3 linked regions of the Ovis aries genome follow. The protein of the gene in region 1 interacts with the protein of each later gene in a biochemical or structural test. Links are inferred from orthologs where the notes say so. Each region holds a gene or a part of one and is shown on either strand. Other genes may lie near its edges. The genes, in order: PBX1, PKNOX1 and HOXB1.

What was found.
Region 2: the proteins of PBX1 (region 1) and PKNOX1 form a complex in vitro, tested with the Homo sapiens proteins (2 studies listed by BioGRID). The link is inferred for Ovis aries from reciprocal best matches to the Homo sapiens genes PBX1 and PKNOX1.
Region 3: the proteins of PBX1 (region 1) and HOXB1 are reported together in a solved structure, tested with the Homo sapiens proteins (2 studies listed by BioGRID and IntAct, with this or other methods). The link is inferred for Ovis aries from reciprocal best matches to the Homo sapiens genes PBX1 and HOXB1.

The regions. Positions count from the first base shown.
Region 1 is NC_056054.1:116,740,751-116,744,338, forward strand, and holds part of PBX1 (pre-B-cell leukemia transcription factor 1), read left to right. Parts: intron 1-747; coding exon 748-992; intron 993-3,588. UniProt on the Homo sapiens protein: Transcription factor which binds the DNA sequence 5'-TGATTGAT-3' as part of a heterodimer with HOX proteins such as HOXA1, HOXA5, HOXB7 and HOXB8. Binds to the DNA sequence 5'-TGATTGAC-3' in complex with a nuclear factor which is not a class I HOX protein.
Region 2 is NC_056054.1:263,841,751-263,846,102, forward strand, and holds the start of PKNOX1 (homeobox protein PKNOX1), read left to right. Parts: upstream 1-1,550; 5' UTR 1,551-1,677; intron 1,678-2,206; exon of another isoform or gene 2,207-4,352. UniProt on the Homo sapiens protein: Activates transcription in the presence of PBX1A and HOXA1.
Region 3 is NC_056064.1:37,689,030-37,693,097, forward strand, and holds HOXB1 (homeobox protein Hox-B1), read left to right. Parts: upstream 1-1,244; 5' UTR 1,245-1,356; coding exon 1,357-1,936; intron 1,937-2,386; coding exon 2,387-2,715; 3' UTR 2,716-3,715; downstream 3,716-4,068. UniProt on the Homo sapiens protein: Sequence-specific transcription factor which is part of a developmental regulatory system that provides cells with specific positional identities on the anterior-posterior axis. Acts on the anterior body structures.

The sequences.
Region 1 (3,588 bases):
AGTACTAGAGTTTCTGCTTTAGCATTATTCCTTCCAAAGAAATCCCAGGGTTGATCTCCTTCAGAATGGACTGGTTGGATCTCCTTGCAGTCCAAGGGACTCTCAAGAGTCTTCTCCAACACCACAGTTCAAATGCATCAATTCTTTGGCAGTCAGCCTTCTTCACAGTCCAACTCTCACATCCATACATGACCACAGGAAAAACCATAGCCTTGACTAGACAGACCTTAGTCAGCAAAGTAATGTCTCTGCTTTTCAGTATGCTATCTAGGTTGGTCATAACTTTCCTTCCAAGGAGTAAGCGTCTGTTAATTTCATGGCTGCAGTCACCATCTGCAGTGATTTTGGAGCCCCCAAAACTAGTCTGACACTGTTTCCACTGTTTCCCCATCTATTTCCCGTGGAGTGATGGGACCGGATGCATTACTAGTTCCTTATCCCCCCCTTCTCCCAGCCTGTGGTACCCACAGGTCTACTTCCTGTCTCCATCAGTTGGACTATTCTAGGCACCTCATATAAGAGGAGTATAATTAATCTCAGGAACAAATCAGACTCTCCTTGCATTTTCTAGTCCTCCCATCCCTCTCTTTTTCCAGCCCTCTTCACGCCCATTGCTCAGGTGCCGTTTTGTTAAGTGATTTGAGACTTCTTCAGCCAAATCATACATTGGGAGTTTCCTGTTGTTTTTAAATGTTACTCCGTTGGGTTACTGTCAACACCTCCCCCCTCTTTTGTATCTCCCTGCAGTTTTGAGTATCCGGGGAGCCCAGGAGGAGGAGCCGACAGACCCGCAGCTGATGCGGCTGGACAACATGCTGCTGGCCGAGGGGGTGGCGGGGCCGGAGAAGGGCGGGGGCTCCGCGGCGGCAGCAGCGGCGGCGGCGGCTTCTGGAGGCGCCGGTTCCGACAACTCAGTGGAGCATTCCGATTACAGAGCCAAACTCTCACAGATCAGACAAATCTACCACACGGAGCTGGAGAAATACGAGCAGGTATTCACAGCCATGTGGGGTCTGGGCCCCCTAGCCCTTTAGGGCAGGGCGGAGAAATCAAGAACTCTGAGCTAGGAGGGATCCGAGGCACTTAGCCTTTCCTGGAGATTGCCATCCGGGATCCAGTGTTTCTGGCCTTTCCCCAGAGCCACTTGTTGAGCTTGAGCCCATCAAGTCCAGGGTCTCCAATGTTGAAAGCTCAGGCAAACTGGAGACAAGATCACTTAAAAAATAGTTTAAAAAATAGATTCAACTGATGATTTTAGGAAACTGAGTCTATGTACAGAAACAGTCCCTGGCGCTCCAGAGCACTGTCCCTTGGCATGCAGCTCTGGGGCTCTCGGTGTTGCAGAGCCTCCAGGTGAGCTGGGGAAGTGTGTGTGTGTGTGTGTGTGTGTGTGTGTGTGTGTGTGTGTTTGGTGGTGGCGGGGGAGGGGTGAGGAGGGTCCTCTGGCTCATTAATTAGGAAGATGCCTCACGACCCAGTGCTCATGGAAGCCTATGGGAACGGATACTAAAACCTGGCCTTAAATTCCTTCACTCTACCCAGATTAGTTCAAATGGAAGTCCATCATACTCTGACTTTCATATATAGTATGTAATATGATACGCATCTCCCTCTATAAAAAAAGTAGAGGGTCTCAGGGGACCCCTGGGAGTGGACAGAGTTGACTCCCAGCCCTGACATGCTGCTGATGGTCTGTGGGACCCAGTGGTCCACATTCTGTGCCTCAGTAGCTGGTAGTATTCAGCAAAGAGCTGTGGATTTGGAGCCTAAGCTCTCAGAGAGCCATAAAAGGATCATATGAAGGACAAGTTTAGAAAGGCTTTAAGTCACAAAACAGTATATAGATGTTGTATGGTATTCTAATAGCACCCCTCTCTACTAGAGCCCCCCCCAACACACACACACACATGAATTTAAATGTCAATATTGTTTCCTCTGGTCAGTATGAGCAACACTATTTTACTAGGAGTCCTTTAACATCAGGATTTCCTCCCATTATTTAGCTGACATTAGTTGGTTGTCATATTGTTGGATGTGACATTTTCCTGAAATTCTAAGTTAATGTGCTTCCATAGAATTGTTAGATTTCTGGCTTGCTTTCTTTTTTAAGAATCATAGAAGAAGAAGGAGAAAAAAAAATCAAAAAGTAGAAGACCCTGTACCATCCACTTAGGACAGTCTAAGTAAAAGGCAAATGCAAACTTAATAGAATATATAAATTTTAAAATAGAAATGGGCATTTTAAAATTTAAAGTGGAGAAAGTTTCATTATTGCACTCCTATCTACCTTTGAAATGGATTTCTACAGAGTTTCTTCTTTTATGAGGGAAGAAGGTTACTATGAAGCTGGAAGCCAAGTGTGGTGAATTTCAGCCACAGGACAGGTGTAGGGAGATGTGAAGGGGAGCAAAACAAAAGTCATTTTGTGGTAAGAACCTGTGGATCATCACCCTCGACCCTCTCAGGGAAGAATAGACATTCTTATCATGATGTAGACTCTTGCAGAGATTTTATCAGACCCCAGGAGAGGCTCAGCTCAGGTAAGCTGGTGGATCCATGACACGTTCCCTGCCTGGGCCATCACGTTAGAGTTCACAGCCTGCCCCAACCAAGGGGATAGTTTGGGAAGACTCACGGGGACATTTCCTGTAAAGGTCCCTAGCTAGCCACTTGGTTCCCCCCTGCCGTGCTTTTCCCATTGTACCTTCACCACTAAGCTTGGTCTCTGGCATAACCACCTATCTAGACCTGGTTTCCAGGCTGTGTTAGTTGCTCAGTCGTGTTGGACTCTCTGCGACCCCATGGACTGTAGCCCACCAGGCTCCTGTGTCCGTGGAATTCTCCAGGCAAGAACACTGGAGTGGGTTGCCATTCCCTTCTCCAAGGGATCTTCTCAACCCAGGGATCGAACCCGGGTCTTCTGCATTGCAACTAGATGTTTTACCGTCTGAGCCACCAGGAAACTCCAGGGGCACAGAGTGTGGCTTCCTCCCAAACCTACAACTGAGATGGGTATTAGGCTGGATGGTGTTAAAAACTAGCTTTCTTTGTAGCTCAGGTTGCCAGCAACAAAGAAGAACAGACTGTCTTCTTGATCTAACCCCTCCTTGTTGCTCTTCCATCTTCTTCCAAAATGCCTAAAGCACTTTTGTCAACCTAACTGTACTTGTTCCAGCACTTTCATGGATGCCGTCCTCTCCGTTCTGATACAGGTGAGGAAATGGAGGTCAGAGAGGTCAGATGGTATATCTGGGTCACACATCCAAGGAGGGACAGATTACCCTGGAATCTAGATGTGGACCCATAGCCCAAGGCTGTTACTGGAGCAACACTCAGCTCCACTTAATATGGAGCAAGTGTGGGTGTCTGTAGACAGCGAAATAACTGGCTTGTCCTCTCTGGTACTTTCATGGAATAGACTGAAGCTCTCTAAGAGAGACTAGTGATAAAAATACTTTCCTTAAGAAACTTCTCATAGACACCTACATATTCTGAATAACAGCAATGCTGGAAATTGGGAACTTAAACTGCATCCATTTTGCTGATGGGTGGGGCTGTACTCCCTCTCTGTTACTTGTTTGGTCCGGA
Region 2 (4,352 bases), about 150 Mb from region 1:
GGGTAGAGGAGGCCAGGCATAGAGGCCAGACAGGGGTGCAGGGCCTGGGTCTCAACTGCCTTGGGACTTGTTTTGGGCCATCAGGGGACAGCACATCCCCAGGTTCTCCTGGACAGAGAGAGACCTCTCCCGCCTCACACACTTGATGAGAACCAGGTGAAAGCTTCAGTCACAGGTGGGGAGAGGGTGAGGCCAACCAGGGCAGGGCTGCTTCAGGGTGCCTGTGAGCAGTGCCATGAGTTGGGGCCCCAGCCCGGTATAATAATCTTCTGTCCCTGTCTTAAAATTCTTAGAAACTCTTGAACAAGGGACCGTTCATTCTGACTTTGCACTGGGCCCTGCAAACACAGGTAGCTGGTCTGCACCACTGAATTGTGTGGGTCCCTTCCCTCCAACTCTCCACTGGTCAGTGGCTCACTGCATCCTAGCCCAGGCGCTGCTATCACAGCCTTCTCTCTGGAAAACGGAGCATTTCTGCAGGACCACGCAGGCTGCCTGCAGCTTCATGGTGCTGGTGGAGTCCTGAAGACAGGAGGGAGGTCCTTCCCGGCGGCTCCCCATTGACTCCCTCCTGAATCACCAGGCATCCTCCAGTCCTGGGTCCCGGGGCAGCGTGCGAGCCCCTCTTCAGACAGAGATCCCACCAAGGAGGAATGTTTCTGTAGAAATGGACAGCCGTTTGGGCCCCATGCCTCTGCGGTAGGAAAGGCCTTGCCTTTTCCTTAACGTCCTGGAGGGCAAGGCCACCAGAGGGACCCGCGGGCTCGCTGCAGCACCGTGTTCGAAAGTCCACCTTGAGATACACCATACTTTCCGCGTCGCCCTAAGAGGTACCACTTCACTGGCAGATGGGGCCTGCGTGGGCCACCGGGGGACAGGTGCCTGACGGCAGAGCGCGGTACCAGAGGCGAGCCTGCAGCGGTGGCTGGAGCCCAGACCGCGGCTGAGGGCGCCGGGGGTCAGGTTGGTGGCTGGGCACTGCCGCCGCTCTCGGGGCGCACGTGTGCAACCTCTGGGAAGAAAGCAGGGGACTGCCTCGGACCTGCACACCAAGGGGGCGCCGCGCAGACTAGGGGCCTGGGCGCCAGATGCCCGCACGGCCTGGCCTCCGAGGACAGCCCGGGACTGGCCTGCCCTGCATCGCCAGGGCGCGCATTCAGGGCTCCTCCCGCGGATGGTAAGGCCCTCCCTCCCCGCCTGACCATCGCAGATGGTTTCGCCCACCCAAGCCCGCTCCACACACTTCCCCCGGTCTCTGAGGAAAGAGCGGAGGGGGCGTGACGCTAGCAGGCCACGCCTCCAGCTCCACACTAGTGAGGCGGGGCTTGCGGCCTGAGGGGCGGGCCGCTCTTCGCGCCGCGGCCCAGCGGCTGGGGGCGGGTCCCGACTGAGAGGCGGGGGCGGGGCCGGCCACCGCCCGCCCCCGGCTCACTCTCCGCCCCCGGCGCCCAGGCCCCGCCTCCAGCCGCCGCGGCGCAGGGACGGGGCGGGGCCCGGGACCCTCAGGCCCCGCCCTCACTGTGAATATTGATGCGGCGCGCGTCGGCGTCGCCCTCCTCCCATTGAGCGAGGCTGTGTCGCGTGGCCCAGCGTCGGCGTGACGGTTGGACGCGGGCGCGGCACTGCGGGTCCCGATTGCTGCAGCCGCTTGTCAGTGTGATGAAGATTGGCACCCAGGTAAGCTGTCACTCAACCGCTCCGCCGCCGCCGCCGCTCCGCCGCCCCGTCCCTATCAATCACGCCGGCCCGCCGGCGCCGCAGCCGCCGCCCCGCCGCCGCCAGCTGGGTCTCCGCGGGCCGCCGCCGCCCGGGAGGGCCGCGCCGGACCTGCCGCCCGGGGCAGGGGGCGGGGAGGGGGCGCGGGTGGGGGAGGGGAGCAGCGGCCGCGGGGAGGGGCGCTGAGGGCCGGGCCGGCGCGGGGGCGCGCCCCGCTTGTTTTTCGGTGTGGGCTTAGGGACGCGGAAATTTCTGGAAGGCTCCGCCGCCGCCGCCGCGCGGGGCCCGCGGCGAAGCGCGCGCTCCTAACCGTCCCTCTCGGAGCGCGGCGCGCGCCCCTGCGCGGGAGGGGCGGGGGGCGCGGGGGCGCGCGGCGGGGGCGGGGGCCGGGCTGAGGGGGCGCGCGGGGGCGGGGCGGGGAGCGGGCGCGCGCGGGGGCGGGGCCGGCGTCCGGGGCGCGGGGGCGGGGCCGCTCGGGGGCGCGCGGGGCGGGCGTTCGCGAGGCGGCGGCGGGGTGCTCGGCGGCCCTGAGGCGGGGGCGTCGCGCTCCTCGGGCTTCCGGGGTCCCAGAGGCCGGGCGGTGGCCGGCGGGTCCCGGGTTGTTAGGGAGCCCGGGGTGCGCGGTGTCTGGAGCGAGTGACACAGGCGTCGCGGGTGGTAAACGGCCGACTAGAGCTAGAGGACGGCGGTGTGGGGCCCGGCCCGGCCGCCCGCTGGCTCCCACATTCCTTGAGGGAGAGGTCGTGAGTCACCTCAGGAGAGGCAGGGAAAGAGGAGTCTGCTTTATTTCAGCGCAGAGGCTGCTGGGACGCGGCGTCGTTAGTGGTTCAGAGGCTGGGCCCGTTAGGCTTTCCTTTGTGATGCACGACTCCTGAATCCGTCTTAGTGCGTGCTGCCCGGGTCGGAGTCCCGGGGTGAGGGCGGAAGGCGGATGCTGGGGAGGGGGAGGGGAATACCTGTACTGACGCGAATGTGCATTCGGTAACTTTGATCGCAGACCTGCACCATCCAGGGTAGATTTGCCGTTTGTAAGGAGGTTGTGATTAACAATTTTGATCCTAAGACTTAGTTTTCAGTAGAAGCTACTGGTAGGGATACTTCCCGCTTTATGCTAAATGAAACCCTCAGCTTTTGTTGGATATACTTGTATGATTTCTCCTGACATATTAAGAGAGGGCTTATGTACTTGTATAATGTTTTATGCAGTGTTTTCTGAATACTGTGTGGAAAAATCGAAGTGAAATGTGAAAATTCTGCCAGTACAGTTGCTGGTGATGCTCTCAAATCTAGGTGTACGTGGGTTTGGAAGGTGGCCCACTGACTCCAATTTGCCTTTATCGGTTTTTTCCTTCACTTTCCCAGCGTGGAGAGAGTCGTGCGTTTCGTTCAGCACGGTTGTGGAATAGAGTTGTAGCACACAGGGCTTTCCAAAGGACCCTTCCTACTTCAGAGATTTACAAGTGGGGATTACAGTTGGTGAAATATCGGATGAGGCAGGACTGGAAAGGTGAACACCCCATGCTGATGATCTAAGTGCAGACACTAATGATACTGGTGTTAATGCTGTCCTCTAGGGCACAGATATTTACATGTCTGTTTCAGTGTGTTGTAGCTTTAGGAAAGTACCACTTAGGATCAGTGAAAGGTACTGGGGGAATAGTAACATTCTAGCGTAACTCTCTCTTTTGTTGCTAACTAATTGAAACTGTTCAGAACACTTTGAAACCTCTAGAGTGATGCAAATCATGCGCCCCAGGGGGCCTTTCCTGCCCTCCCCAGACCTCTGGTCGCCTCCTCTTGGCACAAACGTTTTTAAAAAAATGAAATAGGATCAGGAAGAGAACCTATTATACTGAAATACAGTTATAAAATACAGTTTGATAATAATAATAACCTGTTATACTGAAATACAGTTATCGGAGAAGGCAATGGCACCCCACTCCAGTACTCTTGCCGGGAAAATCCCATGGATGAAGGAGCCTTGTAGGCTGCAGTCCATGGGGTCGCTAAGAGTCGCACGCGACTAAGCGACTTCACTTTCACTTTTCACTTTCATGCATTGGAGAAGGAAATGGCAACCCACTCCAGTGTTCTTGCCTGGAGAATCCCAGGGACAGGGGAGCCTGGTGGGCTGCCGTCTATGGGGTCGAATAGAGTCGGACACGACTGAAGTGACTTAGCAGTAGCAACAGTTATCAAAAGTATTGAACTAAACTTGTAATGAATTTCCTTACCTGCTTTTATTAGCTCATGTAGTAACAGATGGAACACCAGATCTAATTCTTTTTGAGTATTGATGAGTATAAGTGACACTTTGAGATTTTTGTACAGTGCTAATGTTTTGTGAAAATATTTGTAGTTTCTGTTAGTGAAGAAGTCACAGGTGCTGTGCAAATTCCAGGATTTTGCGACTACCTGTGGAATTGAATGAGTGCTAAATTTCAGCCAGACGTTATAAAGATGTGATTTTTTTCTCATTCAGGTTCACAGAGACCAAGTTAAGAGCCTCTGCACTAGCAGTGGATTTGCTGTCAGCGCATCCCTTCCTAGGAGTATGTAGGTGCCCCCCTTTTTCTTCCTCATGATGCTGGTGATGAGGGCAAGGGTGATGAGGAAGTAGGAACAGCACAGCTCAG
Region 3 (4,068 bases), on another chromosome or scaffold:
CTCAGAAGAAAGGGGTGAGACTCCCCTCCTGAGCCTCAAGACTGCCACACGGAAGCTCCCATTCTCTAAGCAAAATCCTTTGATCTATTCTAGAAAATTCATTGGAAACTTGAGTAATCTTTAAGATGTAACTGCTATTGAATTTATGGATTTGAGGCTTGGGATTTTGGGGGAGAGGGGTGTGGGACAGGAAGGAACCAGAAGAATGCACTACACTAGTTTAAAACATTTCAGGAAAAGAATAAAAATTCCCTCGTCTTCACCTGTAAGTAAACATCACCTAGCTCTGTGCTCATTGTGGCTCTCTGGAGAGACACAGGGAATTATTTGAGTCTGAGTGAGCGAGCCAGCTACAGCTATGGATGGCTAGAGAGAGGATAAATACATCCGGAGAGATGAGTTGATGGATAGGTAGGGAAGGAATATAAATATGGAGAGAGATGGAGGAACAGAGAGATGGATTGAGACAGAGAGAATATAAAAAGAAGCTGAGGGAGAGAAATGGATGTGTGAATGAGGAGAGAGTGGTTATGTGGCGAGGTGGAGAGGGGAATGGGGCATTTCTCATCCTCTTCTCCGCAGTGCTGTCATCTTGTCTTGCTCCTTGAAATGCCAGTTTCCCACCCCTCACTTAATGAATTCTTTCTCTAGATTCTAGGCCATGCCTCACACCCTTAGGTGTTTTGCATCCTTTCCCTTCACAGTCATCCATTTGGCCCAAGACAACATACCTGACTTGGCTGTTCTAGCCCATCACCCCAAATTAGGAGAAAGAAACTCAGAGTGGGAGTTCTGGGCAAAGGAGGCTGGATTCCCCATCTCCTGGTCTACAGACTTGGGGAGGGGGTTGCTCCTTTGTGAGGTGAAGGGGGTGGTGGTGGGAAGAATGAAGGGCAGCTGGGTTGAATTTGTCCAAATCTAATAACCTAGGAGCCTATTGAAGGCCTTGGGGACTGAGAGGGGAGGAAAGTCTTGAATATTTCTCTAACTTTTGCCCCCTCTCCCTCTGGTCCCTTCTTTCCAAAAGTCTTTGAAGAAAGATGTTTTTGACGCTTCCATGTCGCCCTCAGATGGATGGGCTGTGGGTGATTGAAGTGTCTTTGTCATGCTAATGCTTGGGGGGTGATGGATGGGCGCTGGGGCTGCCAAACTGTGGCCCGCTGCGCCCATTGGCCTGGGAGAGATCACATGCACCCTTCCACCCCCACTCCCTACCCCCTTCCTGGGGGAGCGCTGGCCCAGGCAAGCTGGGTTAGGCCATGGATGCAAGCTTCTGCGCTGTGACATACTGCCGAAAGGTTGTAGGGCAAGAGGGTGTCTTCCCTAAACGGGCCGACCCTCCTGCGGCCTCCACGCATGGACTATAATAGGATGAACTCCTTCTTAGAGTACCCACTCTGTAACCGGGGACCCAGCGCCTACAGCGCCCACAGCGCCCATACCTCCTTCCCCCCCAGCTCGGCTTCCGCTGTTGACAGCTATGCAGGCGAGACCCGCTATGGTGGGGGGCTGCCCAGCTCTGCACTCCAGCAGAACTCAGGCTATCTGGCCCAACAGCCACCCTCGGCATTAGGGGTGCCCTTCCCCAGCTCTGCGACCTCGGGGTACTCCCCAGCTGCCTGCAGTGCCAGCTACGGGTCTTCTCAGTACTACCCTCTGGGCCAGCTGGAAGGAGATGGAGGCTATTTTCATCCTTCAAGTTATGGGGCCCAGCTAGGGGCCTTGTCCTCCGATGGCTATGGAACCGCTGGAGTGGGCCCAGGGCCCTACCCTCCACCGCAGCCCCATTATGGGAACGAGCAGACAGGGAGCTTTGCACCGGCCTGTGCTGATCTCCTCTCCGAGGACAAGGAATCGGCCTGCGCGTCAGAAACGAGCACCCCTACAGCCCAGACCTTCGACTGGATGAAGGTTAAGAGGAACCCACCCAAGACAGGTAGGGCTCAGACGTGGCCACCCCCTCTCTGGGGGCTCAGAGCAGCTCTGCTGCTTTTGCACGAAGGTGTCCTGGGCTGGGCTCCTGCCTGCATACCGGGTAGAGGCAGGTAAGAGCACTGTGCTCACTCTCAGGTCAGGTGGGGTCTCCCCACCGAGTGAGTGCGCAGTTACCCTTAAGGGTAAGTCTCCACACACAGCCGCACTTCCTGATCTGTGTGCTCAGCGCACGCCCAGGACCCGGTGTTCCGACGAGGGGGAGCTGGGGGGTGGAAGTGTGGGGTGCGGCTCCAGGTTGTCTGGAGGGGTGCCTGGTGATCCACGGAAACTTTGAGAGCTGAAGCTGGATAGAGTGGTGACTGGGGGTGCAGAGCTGGCCGGGGCGGGGGGCGGGGAGGGGAAGGAGAAAGAGGAGAGAACTGACGTGGCCCTTCTCTCGCCCCGCCCCTAGCGAAGGTGTCCGAGCTGGGCCTGGGTGCGCCAGGTGGCCTCCGCACCAACTTCACCACTCGGCAGCTGACCGAACTGGAGAAGGAGTTCCATTTCAACAAGTACCTGAGCCGGGCCCGGAGGGTGGAGATCGCTGCCACCCTGGAGCTCAATGAGACGCAGGTCAAAATATGGTTCCAGAACCGGCGCATGAAGCAGAAGAAGCGGGAGCGGGAGGGAGGCCGGGTGCCCCCAGCCCCTCCAGGCTGTCCCAAGGAGGCGACTGGAGACACCTCCGACCAGTCCACGTGCACCTCCCCGGAAGCTTCGCCCAGCTCTGTCACCTCCTGAACTAAACCTCCCACCCGGGACTCCTCAGCACCAGAGAAACGAGGAGTCCTGTCCAGCCCTCTCCTCTGTTCTCCCTAATCTCGGCCTCAGCTCGACTACTTAGGCTGGGGCTCCAGTTCAGAGCTGCCTTTGGGAGGAATGGGGGACTGCTTTCCTCCAGTCTGGGCAGGGTGCTGATGGCTGGGGACCCTACCAGACCAGAGGCATGGGAGACCCAACCTGTCTAATGTGAGGGAAGGGCTTCCTTCTGCCTCTAATCTAGGGATCAGCCCTCGGGTGGGATGGGAGCAAGTCCCAACCTCCCAGGTTCTCTTTTCCCTTCCAACTTCCATTTGTTCAGTCCAGTGCCTTTGAGCTTTGAGGACTCTCCTCTCATGCACTCTTATCCTAACTCCCCCTTCTAGGCCCAGGACAGAGAGGTTTCCTGTGTGGGAGGTATTTGGGTGCTGGCTATGACCAATGCTTAATCTCTCTAGTTGCCACAGACCTTACAATAGCACCAGCTGCCTTGTGACAGACCAAAAAACTCCCCCCACCACCCCCATCAAACCCTATTAACCCCCTCCTGGCACATTTGTATTGCACTAGCGGCCTCCAGAGGTTGTTTTCTGAGACCTGCCCCCACCCCAGCCCCGGCGACTTTATCTCGAAGCTACCAAAGTGTTTTGGAACTTGGTACTTCAGAGACTTCTGGAATGTTGTTTGAGGCTGGACCCCAGCAAGCCTCTACCAGGAAGGCGCAGGCTCGCCCCAACTAGTTCCTCCCCTATTTATTGCCTCCTGGAAAAGCCAGGACCTTCTTCCTCATCTCCACCCCCACCCCTGGTGCAGCCCAGGGAGGCCCAGGTGCAGGGAGAGCTCCGACCAGCATCAAGCATTTCTCTGAACCTTGGGACAGTGGAGACACCACTCTTTCTGGAAACCTGAGCCCCAAGCAACCAGGTTCTCTCTGTACCTCCAGCTACCTCATTTCAATAAAGTCTGTTTTCCCCTCCTCCGGCATCTTCTGCTCCTGTCTAGGGGTTAAGCGGGCTCTCTCCAAGAGGGCTGGGGGAGAGATGAGGAAAGAATAGATGCAAATTGGTTGAGCTGGAAGCATCTGAGCTTTATGATCTCAGTTGGGTAAAGAGAAGGACTTACTGGGTGGGGCCTAAGCAGAACCGGGTCCTAGGTTTCTTAATCTGACAGAGTCAGTCCTCCAGGAAGACCTGGAGGGGAAAGGAGGTAGGGAGGAAACAGTTCGGAGACCTTCCTGAGAGGAGGAAGGCAGGAAAGGAGAATAGTGGATCTGTTTGGAGAGAACAGAAAAGGGTGTGAAAAGAGGAGGAAGTTGGGGAAAGGCGAAGGGAAGGG